Linked DNA regions of Notamacropus eugenii. The protein of the gene in region 2 binds, or shares a complex with, the protein of the main gene of each other region. Links are inferred from orthologs where the notes say so. Each region holds a gene or a part of one and is shown on either strand. Other genes may lie near its edges.

What was found.
Region 1: the proteins of AMHR2 (region 2) and AMH are in contact, whole or in part, in a crystal structure (PDB 7L0J), measured with the Homo sapiens proteins. The link is inferred for Notamacropus eugenii from reciprocal best matches to the Homo sapiens genes AMHR2 and AMH. Residues at the interface, in NP_065434.1 of Homo sapiens: Gly31, Val32, Arg33, Gly34, Ser35, Thr36, Thr38, Leu39, Phe62, Ile64, Glu75, Met76, Arg80, Asp81, Ser82, Glu84, Pro85, Ser95, Arg97, Ala98, Pro100, Ser101, Leu106, Thr108; in NP_000470.3 of Homo sapiens: Leu471, Arg472, Glu474, Val477, Leu478, Ile479, Pro480, Glu481, Thr482, Tyr483, Gln484, Lys534, Leu535, Ile537, Leu539, Glu542, Arg543, Ile544, Ser545, Ala546.

The regions. Positions count from the first base shown.
Region 1 is NC_092875.1:64,058,179-64,066,132, forward strand, and holds the start of AMH (muellerian-inhibiting factor), read right to left. Parts: upstream 3,424-7,954; 5' UTR 3,135-3,423; coding exon 2,549-3,134; intron 584-2,548; exon of another isoform or gene 1-583. UniProt on the Homo sapiens protein: Plays an important role in several reproductive functions. Induces Muellerian duct regression during male fetal sexual differentiation. Also plays a role in Leydig cell differentiation and function.
Region 2 is NC_092874.1:226,406,244-226,414,270, forward strand, and holds the start of AMHR2 (anti-Muellerian hormone type-2 receptor), read left to right. Parts: upstream 1-4,523; 5' UTR 4,524-4,630; coding exon 4,631-4,679; intron 4,680-4,966; coding exon 4,967-5,149; intron 5,150-5,380; coding exon 5,381-5,572; intron 5,573-5,932; coding exon 5,933-6,004; intron 6,005-6,405; coding exon 6,406-6,518; intron 6,519-6,726; coding exon 6,727-6,957; intron 6,958-7,892; coding exon 7,893-8,007; intron 8,008-8,027. UniProt on the Homo sapiens protein: On ligand binding, forms a receptor complex consisting of two type II and two type I transmembrane serine/threonine kinases.

The DNA.
Region 1 (7,954 bases), on a different chromosome or scaffold from region 2:
TGTTTCTCCAAGGAGGGTCCCGTCCCTTTGAGCTCTCGGCTGCCTCTAGCTTTCCCCTGGGTTGGACGCTCAGAGCCCAGTCTCCCGGCCAACCCTACCAGTGGTCAGAGAGGCCAGGAATGTGTCCCAGCACATAGAACTGATGACATTGGCTGGAGGGTGGGGGGAAGAAAGGTCTCTTCCCTTCTCCTCCCTCCCCAGTGCATGCCCTAGAGCAGACCTCGGGGATCACTAGACAGAAGATGAAGGGTCTCCTGGCCTTTGAAGACCAGGCAGCCCCATCCCTCACCTCACTTCCCACCTCCCAGCTCCAGAGAGGCTCAGGGGGTAAAGTCTTGGACTTGGGTTTGTCTCATATTTACTAGTGACCTTGGACAAATCAGTAGACCTGAGTTTTAAAGTCTGTATTTAAACCATGGGGATAAAAATTTTGTCCCGCAGATTGGGGGGAAGGGGTGGATGGGGTGCATGTTGTCTTGGTGTAGGGGGTGGGGAGAGATGGGGACAATATTTGGAGTTCAAAATCTTGTGGAAGTGAATGTTGTAAAGTGAAAATAAATTATATATTTAATTTTTTAAAAAATTCTGTCCTGTCACAGATCTGTTGCCCCTAAAACAACAAACAAATCCCAAACCACAATTGTAAGGACCAGATAAAAGACCCAGCCTTCAATTACCTGCTTTGTGGATTTACCCAAAGCCCCCTCTCTACCATTCATCCAGGCCACCCACGTGGTACTGGGGAAGGGGTTAGGGCTGGGCACAAATGCTAACGCCCAGTCCAGGGGGTTAAAAAAACACCACATTCTGCTGTACTGAGCATGGTCTTGTGGACAGCAAGCATGCCTCAGAACCAGGAAGACCCAGGTTTAAGTCCCACCCAGTGACTGTGACACCCTGAGCAAGTCACTCACAGACAAGTTGCAGAGATGGTGCCAATGTGTTTTGGCAAAGGATGAGAATATCACCTGTCAATGAAATTGCAGGTGTCATTCCCTTCTCCATTTTGTATTTATTATCTGGGTCTTTTCTAAGAGCACAGGTCTCTTTCCTCTGGGGGCTTCAGCTTCCTCGAGAAAGGAGTGAACTAAGGGGCCTCTGAGCTCCTTTCCAGTTCTGGAAAGGCTAGAACTGAGAGCAGAGAAGACACAAAAGTTCCCTGGGACCTCACCATTCAGAATGGTGACTTTGTATAGGGCTGGGAGAGCCTGCTCCCAGTTTCAGAATGTGGAGCCTGACTTGAACCTCATAACTCAGCTAGTGTTTCCACGATCTTAGACAAACCAGTCTCCTTCCTCTGCTAAACTAGCCCAGGGTTACTGTCCAGAGCCCAGGCTGTATGGGGGCTTGCCTCCCCTTGCAGCATCCTTAAAATTGGCCTGCTTACTCAGGCAGCATGGTAAAGCCTATGAACCCCTCCTGAGAATGTTTTCTTTATATTAAATTTCATTTAGAGGTGAGCAAAAATAAAGATGTCATTTTCCCCCCTCCATCTAAGTTCACAGTTCACTGAAATCTATCCACAGACTTCAGGTTAAGAATCTAGCCCTTGCACTTAAAAAAAATTCCCAATGGTCTTTTAAGGCAAAATGTCTTCCATCCCCAGAGAAAGAACTTTGGGATTCAATTGCAGTTTGTAGCAGATCATTTTCTTTTGTATTACATTTTGGTTTGTTATATAATTTTTCCCACTCACTTCAATTCTACTACACAACATGACTATAGTGAAAATGTATTTAATAGGAATGTATGTATAGAACCTATATAAAATTGTATGCTGTCTTGGGGAGGGAGGAGAAAAATAATCTAAGTTATATGGTAGTGATTGTAAAACACTGAAAAGAAATAAAATATAAAAACAAAACCAAAAAGAATCTAGCCCTTGCCCTCAAAGACAATATCTGGGGTTTACTGAGGAAGAGAGATCAGCCCTAGACCAGCCCTGGACAAAGTCTAGCTGGTCAACTCCCTGGGCAGGCTGCCCTGGCATGCTACATGTTGGGCTTGGAGCCCAGAACTTAACTCTAGCTATCCTCCCTGCCCCACCCACCCAAGGCCTGTTAAATCCATTCTAAAGCCCGGAGTCTTAGAAACTTGGAGATCCCTTGGCTCTCGTAGACAATGAACAAAGTCAACCATGAATCGCTAGTTCATAGGATGTGGGGCTAGTCTCATCCCCTACTGTTTTTGTTTTTTTTTAAATACAAAGGATGAAGATGAAACAGGCCCAGAAAGGGGCAGCAGACATACTAGAACCAGAATCAAACCCGAGTCCTCTGATTCCAAATCCCAAGCATTCTCTAGACCAGAGAACCAAGAGAACACCACTGCCACTAGCTAGAAGAACCCTCTAAGCTGTAAGAGACTGCTATTCCTCTTTCTGGGATCCAAGTATCCTGGATCACCCCCTTCACTAGGACCTAAGAATACAAAATGCTTTTTAGAAGGAGCCTCCGAGGCTGGTTGCAGACTAGGGATCACTCCCCACCACGCCTAAAATGTCCTCCAGCCTTGCCCCTAAGGACATGCTTGCACATGGCACACCTACCTTCTTCTAGATGTAGAACCACGAGACTCTGCCCGCCTGGCTCCACCAGTCGTTCCCCCAAATGCTGCAGAGAGAGGTGAGCAACTCCTGTGCCCCCTGGGGGGCAGATCCCAAAGGTGGCCAGGTCCTGCTTGTCCCAGCGGGCCTGTCTCAGTGCTTCCACAAAGCCCCTCTCATAACCACGCAGAGCCCCCACCACCTGGAGGGGATCTGAGGCCCCATCCCCACCCCTGCCTACTTTCACCCAGCACACTGGGTTTTTTAGGCCTCCCAGGGGCCAAGGATGGGACTTGGGCCCAGTCCATAGATCTGAAGTGCCACTGTCCGAGGCAAATGAGGGCCAAGGGAGGTGGACTTCACTCCCAGGGGTCTTTTGGCTCCTTAAGGATGAAGATCCATCTGAATCAGGAAGCCCCGGCAGCTTGTCTGACCTCTCCCTCCTCTGGTCCTGGGCCGCCAGGCTCTTGGACAGAGTTGGTAGTAGTTTGGTGTTGGCATCTGATTGCTCCTTCATGGGGGTCTCTCCCCTCAGCACAGCAAACATCACTGACAGGAGCAGGAGCAAACCCACAAGTGAGCCCTTCATCTTGGGCTGACTGTGACCGAGCCTTTGGCTAACTGGGGCTTTTATGAGACTAAGGTGGCAGAAATGCCTTCTCCAGACTGTTTATGAGGGAGGGAAGGATGATTATCTCTTCCCAACGGAGGTGACCTTGAATTGACAATGCAGAGCACATCCTTTGGGACCCTGGAGACCAACAGTGTAAAAGTGAGGGGAGGCCCTTTCAAAGGGTTCTTTCTGTTCTATTTTTGGCTGGGTATCTTGCTTCTTACAAGTGATATGAATTTCAAGCTGTTGACCAGATTTGTCAAAATACTGTCCTTGACTGATTTTTTAAGAAATGTGAGTGAGAATCTGAGCTGGGAGTGTACAGTTTAGAAAGACTGGGGGACAGACAGTGTGGGGAGGAGGCAGCTGCACCCATGGCAGAGGGACTGGAGGAAGGAAAGGTGTGTAGGGGGCAAATCCTGGTGACCTGGTCTCTGTGGAACTCCACTGGGGACTAGGAAGCTAGAGCCTTATCCCTGGGCTGTGTGCATTGGTCAGTTCTCACCAAAGGCCAACTATGGGTGTACAAGGGACACAAAATAGCTAGAAGCCTTGCTTTGGACAAGCTGGGCAATCGGCTTTTTTCAACCTCTCCTAGGGACAGTTAATGGAGAAACAAGAGAGCTGGAAGAGGCCTTAAAGACAAACCAACAGCTTTGTGGCAGGGAGAGAAGTACTGGCTCTTGGGTCAGAGACAGGGGTGTCCAGTCGCCTCAGACGCTCACAACCGAGATGACCAAGGGTGAGTCACTCACTCTCCCTGGGCCTGTGTCCTCATCCATAAAAAGTGGGCTACTTCAAGCTCTAGATTTGTGAACCCGGTCAGCCATTGTACATTAATTGGGTATGCTCTATGGTAGGCACCATGCAAGGCCCTAGGGGTACCCAAGAATAAGTTGCCTCACTGTAATGAGAGTGCCCCATACCAGGTGCACATAGTACAAATGGGAGGAGGAAAGAATGGGTCATAGAAAGGCCTTCTGTAGAAGGCAGGATCAAAGCCGGGGATTCTGGTCCAACCTCTCATTTCATGGGGCCTGAAGCCACGCAGGGAGTGGGCATCCAAGATGGGATTTGAACCTGCTCCCTCTAATAACCAAACCACTGCATCCTTTTAGATTGCTTTGGGAAACCAGAAATCCCAAGAGCCCACGCTGCTTTTGTGAGTCACTGACTATCCATCGATCAAGGTAGGGCTGCTCGGAGCTGCGGTCTTAGTTCACAAAGGTGCCGCCATCATGATGAGTGACACAGGGCTAAGCAGTGCCTAGGGGTAAAGTGGGTAATAAGGATGGTGGTGACAATGGCGTAGACATTGAATGCAACCAAATGCTAACATTTACGACACAAGATGTACTTCTGTTGTTCAGTTGTTTCAGTTGTATCTGACTCTTCATGGCCCCATTTAGGGTTCTTTTGGCAGATACTGGAGCCATTTGCCATCTTCTCCAGCTCATTTTGCAGATGAGGAAACTGAGGCAAAGACTGACTTGGCCAGGGTCACACAGCTGAATTTGAACTCAGGAAGTCTTTCTGACTTCAGGCCTGGAGTTCTATGCACTATGGCGCCACCTAGCTGCCCCTAGGATATATACATTTTATAACTTTTTTAAAAAGCAAGAACAATGGTGGTATGTTGTAGAGTGTAGGTGATGAAGGCAGCTAAGTGCTAAAACATGACACAAGTCATATACTGGAGAACTTAACAAATGCTAGTGCTGAAAAGAATCTTCAAGGTCACCTCATAACTTACAGAGAAAAAGGGGGCATAGAAGGGCCAATGAATGACATGGGTGGTAAGGAAAATGAACTCAGAAACCCTGACGTACAGAAACAAATTCAATATTCTGAAATGTGGTGGGATAGGACTAAATTATAGTATCTTTTGCTGAAAAGACACAAAGCAGATTTAAAAGGGGACTGGATGGGGCTGGAGTAACATCACTAATCAAAAGGGTATGTTAGGGGCAGTTAGGTGGCACAGTAGATAGAGCACCAAACTTAAGAGCGAGTTCAAATCCAGCTTTAGACATCTACCAGCTTTGTGACCCTGGGCAAGTCACTTAACCCCAACTGCAGAAAGAAAGGGGAAGGAGAGGAAAAAGTAAAGAAAAATAGATGTTTCTGTGAATAAATCTAGGAGCCCAAGATAGGAAACATGGTGGAGAACCATGGATTAACGAGGATTAACGAGAGGGGGGAAAAGGAACAATATGGTGATGATATATACTACAGACCAACTGGATCAACTGGGATAGGGGTGAGGGAAGAAATTAAATTGGAAAGAAGATACAAAAGTGCACAATATACAGAAGCAAATGAGCACAGTAACCTTGTTTTCGATAAACCCAAAGATCTCAGCTACTGGGGCATGAACTCATTATTCAACAAAAAATATGAGGAAAACTGGAAAGTAGTATGGAGGAACTACATATAGACTAACATCTCATACTGTATACTAAGGTAAACTCAAAATGATCCAGACATAAAAGGCGGAGGATGGAAAACATGACCAGTCAGATCTATGGATAGAGGAAGAGTTCATGGCCAAACAAGATAGGGGGAAAGTAGATAAATTTACAAGAACCATTCTCCAACTGATAAACTGTCAAAGGTTATGAATGGGTGGTTTTTCAAAGGAATAGATCAAAATTATCAATGGCTACATAAAAAATATTCTATTTCTCACAGAGAAATGGAGATTAAAAGAACTCTAAGATATCTCTTCACACTCATCGGATTGACTAAGATGATAAAAAAGGAAGATGACAAATGCTGCGAGGGATGCAGGAAAACAGGTGCACTAATGCACTTGCGCTGTGAGCTAGTCAGGCATTTGGAACTATGCCAGAAAAGGTTATTAAACTGAACACACTCTGACCCAGCAATTCCTCTACTAGGTCTGTGCCCCAAAGAGATAAAAGAAAATGGGAAAGGATGCACGTGTACAAGAGCATTTGTAACAGCTTTTTATGTTATCAACAACTAGAAACTGAGGGGATGCTCAACAACTGGGGATGGTTGAGTGAGCTGTGGTATATGAATGCAATCAAATACTATTGTGCTGGTAAAAAATGAAAAAGATAGTTTAAAAAAAACTTGTATGAAATGATGCAAAATGAAGTGAGCAGAGAAACAACTCCTTAGAAACAAAGGTGTAATAAACTTTGAAGACTCTTAAGATTCCGATTATTCCAATGACCAGCAATTCCCAAGGCCTCCTAATGGAATATGCTATCAGCCAGCAGACTGAGCTGATGGACTCGAGCACAGACAAGTGCATTTTCTTCTTCGGGGACATACAGTTAATTCAGGAATTTATCTTGCATGTCTATACATATTTATAATGGTTTTTTTTTCTCTTGTCTTCTCAATATGTGGGGGACTGAGGAGGAAGAAGACAGTCAGAACTGAAAATAAAATTTAATAAAAGAAAATGGATACGAATGAGGAAGGGAAGCACTGTATTATAATGACTGCAGATTTCAACTACCTGGATCTCTGTGGAGTTCTCTTCAGATGCAGAGCAGTGTGTGACACAATTGGGACCATTTCATCCTTCAGAAGGTGGCAGGCACAATTCTGGGAGATAACTGCTGTTCTGCACCTTATTCTAACAAGGCAGGGTTTGTTTCTAAAATAGAAATGACAAGAACTCTGAGGGCCAATGACCACTTGGTCACTGAACTTGTGAAAAGGGGCGAGAGGGTGCAACCTCTAAGTGCACGTCACTCTGACAGGCATTTTAGGTGGTACATCAAATTTCAAAGAGTTGAGGGAAAGGACAGGTAGGATCTGATGGTACGATTGATTGCAAGGGGGAATCAGCTCAAGAATGGAAGCTCTCAAGCATGAGATTCTTGACTACAATAAATGGTTCCAGTAAGGATGAATAATTGTTAACATTAATATAGCCCTTCCTCTGTATGAGGCATTATGCTAAGTACTTTAAAGGACTATTTAATCCTTAAAACACCGGGATGAGGTACTATTTTTCCCATTTTATAGATGAGGAAACTGAGGCAAACAAGTTAAGTGACCTGCCTTGCATCACAAAACTACTAAGTTGTCTGAAGTAAAATCTGAACTCAGGTCTTCCTCACTCTAGGCCCAGTGCTCTAGCCACTGCACACAACAACCAACCCCATAAACAAAACAAAAAGATGCTTGAAGTTACTGATAGGGACATGTGGGGAACTCAATTTGCCACCAAAACTGCCTACACATAGAATATTAAAAAAGGCAGATACGACAGCTGAGTCACTGTCAGTGATTATAAGATCCTGGGGAACAAAAAGTACTATGGCAAGACATCTTAATTTTCAAAGGGTAAAATCAGCAAACCTAATTTTTACTCCTGCTAATGTTCTGGAGCATATTAAGATGGTTTCTCAGGGAAGCACTGATTACTAAGAACCAACATGGCTTCAGAAATGGGTCATGTCCCCACTGCATGGGTTTGTTCTGCCTAACTATGCCTCTTGGTGAGCGGGTTTGGGAAGGAGGGACTAGTGAGGGTGATATAAAAAAGAAAAGAGGAAATAAAAGAGGGCCATTGCAACATTTTAAAAATGTGCAGAGAACAGGAAAAGGTCAGATAAGCAGAACAACTTTGGAACTGTTGAGTTTATTACATAACTTTGAAAAGAAATGAAACCTTATGGAAGGGAGATTTATAGCTTGATAGGCATTCTTCTTTTTCTGTGCCTGTATGTAGGTGGAAACAGTCGTGTGATGAATTTGGGCAAATGAAGACAAATAATTTTTTCAGAGCAGGCTTTAGACTGGAAGGGCAG
Region 2 (8,027 bases):
TGGGGCAAATTATCTCTCATAAAAGAGGCAAGCAAAAGACTTATTAGTAGAGGGATAAAGAGGGGAGGCAAGAGAAAAACATGAGGTCTACTCTCATCACATTCCACTAAAGGAAAGAATAAAATGCACACTCATTTTGATAGGAAAACCTATCTCATAATACAGGAGAGTGGGGGACAGGGGCACAAGCAGGGTGGGGGGGAGGATGGAGGGGAGGGCATGGGGAGGAGAATGTAATCCGAGGTCGACACTCACGGGGAGGGAAAGGATCATAAGAGAATAGAAGTAATGGGGGTCAGGATAGGATGGAGGGAAATATAATTAGTCCTGTACAACACAACTAGTATGGTAATCATTTGCAAAACTACACAGATTTGGCCTATATTGAATTGCTTGCCTTCCAAAGGGAAGGGGTGGGGAGGGAGGGAGCTAAAGAAGCTGGAACTCAAAGTGTTAGGATCAAATGTAATGTTCTTACCACTGGGAAATAAGAAATACAGGTTAAGGGGTCAAGAAAGCTATCTGGCCCTACAGGACAAAAGAGAAGACGGAGACAAGGGCAGGGAGGAAGGATAGAGGAGAGAGCAGATTGGTCACAGGGGCAATTAGAATGCTTGGGTTTGGGGGGGAGGGGATAAAAGGGGAGAAAATTTGTAACCCAAAATTTTGTGAAAATAAATGTTAAAATTTAAAAAAAAAAAAAAAGATTTGTATCTCTCAGACTACAGGCCAATTCACTTACAGTCCGCAGCAAACAGTGGATGACAGTTTATACTCACCCATCATCCCCTGGATGTGACCATTCTCAGTTCCAGTTAATGTTCTCCAGAGAGCCATCCAAGCAGGGTCAGCTCTACAACTGCTTTTCAGCCTGAAGAAACTCCTGAAGCAGAGACCTTCTTTTTTCCCAAATGAATTTGGGTCCCAGCTCTTGGAGGGGGGAATAATGGAGTCCTAGTAGAGCTGCCCCCAGCCCCAGTAGTCTAAATTCATTACAGGCCTGCTGTACCTACCTAGCCCCTGCCCTCACCAATGTCCTGACTTCATACATATGCCTCACTGCTCAGGCGTGTCCCTGAAACTCATAGTCCTCACAGAAACAGCAGGCATAGGAACCTAGCCACTGCCTCTACCCAGCCATGACCCCCAGACCCATTCCCACAGAAACAGGGGTGTTCTTGTGGTCAGTCACAATCACATCATCCATCTAGCCTAAGACAGGACCACAATACCTAATTATCTCTCTTGACCAGACAGGACCACAATAGCTGGCTAATTGGAAGGCAGCATGGCCAGAATGTTTAACCACCAAACCATAGATGGGACCCCTCCTCCATTACCTAATCCTTTAACAAGGTCCTCCTGCCTTTTAAATATTAATCAGATTCCTATATTCTATGTAAATTTCTGTTATGTAATGGTATCTTTACCCTATAAGAATCCATCTTGTTTTCTCTGAAGTTGCTGGTTCCTCTTGGAACTTAGCCTGCTTCATGAGAGGCATCAATCTCAATAAATGCCTATACTTGGATTGGAGGTGGTCTGACTGAATTCTTGAGACAGTTCCACCACAACACATCATGACACCTCAACAGTTTTTGGCATACCGGGGTTTCAACCTCAACACCAGTGCGACTCTAAAAGCATCCTTGACCTGTCTGGGCCTCGGTTTCTTTATCTGTAAAATGAAGAAAGTTGGACAAATCAATAAGCATTTACTTACTATTGTGTGACACTGGATAAGTCACTTTACCCTGTTTGCCTCAGTTTCCTCATCTGTAAAATAAGCTGGAAAAGGAAATGGCAAACCACTCCAGATACTTGGCCAAGAAAATTCACAATGGGGTCATACAGGACTGAAAATGATTGAAAGGGTGGGGGAGGATTTAGGGGATATGAGTTATATTTTGGACGTATTTCAAGATGTCTACTGGACATCTAATTTGAGATGTCTGAAAAGTAGTTGGAGATGGGAGACTTGAGGTTTGTAGACAGGTTAGGGCAGGATAGGTAGGTTTGATAATAATGTAGAAATATTATAAATGAGTTATTTTGAATTATTTGTTTATAATTACTATAAATAGCAATTGTTTCTGTTTCAACCAGAAACTCTGAGGATCTTGTCCTCCCAGATTGATTTTTTTTTTTTTGACCAGGTTAAAGAAGTCATTCTTTGCCTCATTTCTTACCTGGACTTAATCATTGAGTGGGTATTGCCTCAGTCAAACGGAGACCTGGGAAAAACCTTAGTTTAGAAAGACCAAGGTCTCCTAGTGCATCCAGGATCATCTCCAGTCATCCTCATCTATATCTTGCCACTGGACCCAGATGTCTCTGGAGGAGAAAGTGAGGCTGGTAGCTTTGCACAGCCCTCCCTCACTTTAACCCAATTCACTTGCAAGTCAAGACATTACCTTCCTGATTTCATGGTCCTCTTTGAGATAGAAGAACAAGCAACAAAAATAGAAATGATAATTAAATTCATGGGAGTTGAAGAGATTATCAATATAGAGGGACAAGGGAAGGGGGCCCAGGACAGGGTCCTGAGGGTCACCTTGGTTAGATGGTTAGTACCTTTCAGATCTACAACAAATGCTCCTATGGTGATGAAAAGAGAATCTGTGTTGACTTTTGAAAGAACAGGTTCTATAGAGTGATGGGGAATGGAGAAATCTTAGAGATGGAAGAACAGAGGCTGACTGGCCTAACCCTTAACTGTCCAACACTGCCTTGCTCATCTGATGTTTGTCCTTTCTTCTCGAAGAGGACCGTGACATCAGGAAAGGTGATGCCATGACATGCAAGTGAATTGGATTTAAGTGAGGGAGGGCTGTGCAAAGTCACCAGCCTCACTTTCTCCTCCACAGTCATCTGGGTCCAGTGGCCCAGCTATTCATTAGGACAAGTGGAGATCGCTCTGGATGCTCCAGGAGACCATGGCCTTTTTGAACTAAGGTCTTCCTAGGCCATGTTCAGCCAACCTCTGCTTGAAAGACTCCCATGATGGGGAATTGGCTATCTCATGAGAGGCAGTTCTTCTTTGGAATAGCTGTTATTGATAGGAATTTTTCAGTGCTGCTGTGTTCCTAATCATAACGATAATCATAATAGTGGCATTTAAGCAGCATAGTGGACAGAGCACTGTGTCTGAAGCAAGGAAACTTGAGTTCAAATCTGATCTCAGATTCTTACTAGCTGTGAGACTTTGGGTAAGTCACTTAACCTCTATTGCCTCAGTTTCCTTTATGGTAAAATGAAGACATTATATATTATATATAGTTACATATATAATACTATTATTATTATCATTATCCCCTACCTCCCAGGGTTGCAGTGATATCAGCTGAGATAATATTTGTAAAGAGCTTAGGGCAGCATCTGGTACACAGTATAAATATACTATGTAAATATATATTATATAATATATATTATATATAATATATATCATATATAGTATAAAAATATATACTATAAAAAATATAAATCCTAACTATTATGATGACTATATCCTCTCACCCCCCTGACAAATCTTCTGATTTTCCTGCTAAAGTCTAAGAAGTCAACAAGCATTGATTAAGTGTCTACTGTGTCCCAGGCACTGATCATGCATCCCTTTATTTAATCATTACATATTCTTCTGTCTTCTCGCCATCCCAGTCACTGCATTTGGGATACAGTCCAGCTTCTCTAAGCCAGAATGCAAAGGACTGTGAATACAGCAGGTAGCAGGGAAGTGCAGGTTTTGAGCACAAACAACTTTTTTTCCTAGAAATTTAAATGTAATGAATCAGGGAGAAAGGGGATAGTGAGAGCAGAATTAAGGGGAGAGGTTTTTTTCTGTCTTTTACAGTGCCTAACTAATACAGGAGTGTAGGTGCCCAGTGAATATTTATCAGTTAATAGACAATTAGTAAATACCTGTTGATTGACTGATTTCATTGACTTAGGGTTTACACCTAGATGGCACCACCCCTCCTTCCCCCCATGGGTGCGCTGACCTCTTGTGGTACTAGACTAAATTACAACATAGCCCCTGGATAACTGTCTCCTCAACTGAGTCTGAAACCTCTAAAAGGCCAAACTGGGTCCTCATTCTAATGGGTGTATTGAGGCCATGATCTCCTGGATATTTTGGTGAATCATGGGGAAAACTGAGGCCTGGTTGGGAGGAGGAGGCATGCAGCCAGTTGAGGGATCTTTGGAGGGAATACTTGGGATTTCTAGCAACTGAAGACTGCGCCTTGGCTCTCTCCCTTCAGGCAGTCCCACACCTTTTCTTTGTGCCACAAAAAGGAGAAAAAGTTATAAAAAAGAGGTATCTCTGAGTTTTCAGTTAAACATCAAAGCCCCCCACTCCTTCTGACCAGACAAGGAAGGAGTGCATGAAGAGGCTGGAGAATCTCAGATTGGTCGTTCTCCTCCCTTCCTCTCCTTCCTCCCCCCCATCCCCACCGCTCCCACAGCTGCAGTCTCCCCCACACAGGCTGGGGAAGGAGGGTGGGGGCGGGCAGGGAGGAGGAGTTGGGGACGGTGGGATCTGAGAGCCCCACGGTGCCAGGCGGTCAAAGGGAAAACGCCAACATTAGCTCAACCTCTCCGAAACCTTCTCCTTCAGACCCCCTCCTCAGTCATGTTGGGCACCTTAGGGTTTTGGATGCTTCTCCCTGCAGCTGTGCAGGGTAAGTATCTACAGGAATGGGTTGTTCAACTGGCTTTCTGGCTTTCAAAGCAGGTTACCCCTGAGACAGACTGGGTGGGGAGACATTTGAGATAATTGACTCGTTGACTCTTAGAGAGAGTTGAGTGAAGGCAAAGGGGGAGGGGGTCTTATTTTAGACAGCTGCTGACTTCCTGGCTTTTCCACCTTGATCCTGAGATGTGATATGAGTTTTCTCTTTGACTAGATGTTTGTCTGTCTGGGGTATAATCCCACCTTCCTTCTTCCCTGCCTTTATCTTGTTCTCAGCCCCACCAGGTCACCGGACTTGTCTTTTCTTTGAGGGTCCTGGGGTACAAGGCAGCACAAGGGCCCTGGGGGAGCTACTAGATGCAGGACCAGGGCCCCCCAGGAGTATCCGCTGCCTCTACAGCCACTGTTGCTTTGGAATATGGAATCTGACTCAGGATGGGGCTCAGCTGGAGATGCAGGGTGAGTGGCCAAGTAAGTTGGCAGGGATGTAAGGGGAGGAGAGGGCTGTTACAGAAATGAGACATGGGGAGGGCGAAGCTAGCTTCTCTGAGAGGAATGATAGCACATCTATAAGGGAAGAAAGGCCATTTCAGAGATTGAAGGGACACTTCCAAGAAAAAAGCAGGAGAAAGGTCCCCTAAAAGTGGGCTTTATCGCCTTCTGTCCCCTTCTCCTTCCCATCCCAAACAGGTTGCCGAGACAGTGATGAGCTGGGTTGTGAATCCCCCCGGTGTGAGCCAGCCCGCCGTGCCCACCCAAGCCCTGGCTCCACCCTCTTCACCTGCTCTTGTGGCACTGATCTCTGCAATGCTAATTACAGTCACCTGCCACCTCCAGAGATCTCAAGGACCCCCAACTCTCAGGGTCCCCAATCTCCACCTGGTAATCCCTACTCTGGAGCCCAAGTGTCTAGGCTGGAAAGCTAGGCTGGGGTTGTGTGTACAAGGCGGGGGAGAGTGGGGATTGGATTGTAACTGGGAGGAGGGCCATGCCCAGTTTTCCCTCTGTCCATATTCCTCCCAGTCCAAGCCTCCTACTCCCTCCTCCTGACCTTGGGATGTTTTTTACCCTGGTGACAAGAAGATAACAGGAAAAATTCTATGGAAGCAATGGGAAGGGGATAAAGAACCCAGAGCATGGGTTCCCAGGATCTATGTCTTTCTTCCCCAAGGGAAGGGGAGGCTGGGAATATTCTAGAGTATTCCCTTCCTCCAGTCCTAAATTTATTCTTTTTCTGTCCAGGGGAGTCCTTTCTGGTGGTGGTGTCTCTGCTGGGGCTGTTTCTCCTTCTTATGCTGGGCAGCAGCATCTTGGGTACAGACTTGACCCCTGTCACCCCTCTCCCCCCCAATGCCCTTTGGGCATCCTTCTGATGCTTTTTTGTATCACCCACATACACACAAACACCTCCCAGGTACTCTCTGGGCCCTTTGCCCCTCTGCCATGACCATGTCCTCTGTAGCATGGAGCCATGTCCTCTGACCTTTCTCTGCCCCCAGCCTCCGCTAGATAGTAGTCCCTATCATCCCTCTGTCCTCAGTAATCCTCAAGGCCTTTTTACTTCCTGCCCGTGGTCTTGGCCCATGACCTCCATTTCCTCCAATCCCTTCCCATTACCTCTCAAGAACCTTGTACCTCCCAAGCCCCTGGTTCTGTGCATGCTGGCCCCTTGCCTCCCTACCCTATGGCACCCCCACCACCACCTGTATCTCCAGCCCTTCGACAGTGGAAGGCTCTTAGGGCCTCGGGGGGCCAGGAACTAGACCCGGAACCAGGCAGCAGTTGGAGCCAGGAGTTGCCAGAGCTGGAGGAGTTATGCTTCTCTCAGGTCTCTGTTCCCCATGTCATGGTGGGGAAGTGGAGGGTGGAAGACAAAAATCCTAATGCCTCAATTCCAAGGATTGGGCCCTAGATCGTTCCTTTGCTGTGATAGATAGGTTGATGAGGGATGAGGGCAAGAAGCAATGAATAGGCTAGAAGCCCAAAGAAAAGGTGGTGAATCCAACCCCCTTAGCATATTGTCCCCTTTTGTTCAGATCCTACAAGAGGGAGGCCATACAGTGGTATGGGCAGGACACCTCCAAAGGGAGCCGGTGGCCATCAAAGCCTTCCCCCCTTGGGCGGCACCCCAATTCCAGGCAGAAAGGGCACTCTACGAGTTATCTGGCCTGCAGCATGACAACATAGTACGATTTATTGCCGCTGGCAGAGGCGGCCCCGGCCCCCAGCCTCCTGGACCCGTGCTGGTTCTTCAGTTGTACCCCAAGGTAAGAGTCTAGTGATGGAGGAATTGTGATAATGGAAGGCCGTCTGGGGCTCTCTGCTCCCATTTCTCTTGTCCTGTGACTTTCCCTCCATCCCCCATTGTCCCTTTCCACCAGTCTTGGTGTCTCCCCTTAATTCCCTCCATACCTGTCTATCCCTATATCTACCTTGCTTTCTCCTTATGGATAGTTAGCTAGCTGATGACTTGTTACTCATTGCCTTCCTGTCTGATTTTCTACCTCTTTTTCTACAGTCCCATACACTTTGATATTGTCATTCAGTCCTTCATGTGCAGCTCTTCATGAGCCCATGGACCAAAGCACGCCAATATTGTCCAAGAGTTTTTGTTTATTTTTTTTTTTTATTTTACAAAGATAGAGGCGTGTTTTGCTATTTCCTTCTCCAGCAGATTAAGGCAAACAGAGATTAAGTGATTTACCCAGAGTCACAGCTAGGAAGTGTCTGAGGCCAGATTTGAATTCAGGTCTTCCTGACTCCTGGCCTAGCACACTCCCCACTAAGCCAACTACCTGCCTCAAACACTTAGTAGGCACTAAATAATTGAATTTCATTTGAAGCTATCTGTCTTCTTCCAATGTATCTAACTTCATCACGGTTTCTATATATAGTGAACTGGCATAAGAAATTAAATGGGAATTTTGGGGTTTTGCAGAAGCCACAGATGATACACGAAGGGCAGCAGACAACATGCAAAAAAAGTTTAGAAACTCAGAAATGCATAAAATGTATGCATAATATTGTATAATAGCAACACCCCACAAAAGAAAAAAGAAAAAACTCAGACTTCTCTGGTACGAAAGGAGGGCCAAAAAACTTTTACCGAGGAGGGGGGTGCTGCACTCCTGACCCCTGCAATGTGGAAGGGATCACTGTAATGATGTTTCCCAAGGCTCATGTGTTTTTCTCTTTCCTCTAGGGCTCTCTCCGCCACTACCTGGCCCACCATACCTGTGACTGGCGTCACTCTATAAACCTCGCTCTCTCTCTGACTAGGGGTCTGGCCTTCCTTCATGAGGAATCCTGGAAGGATGGTGAGCCCAGGGGAAGCTGG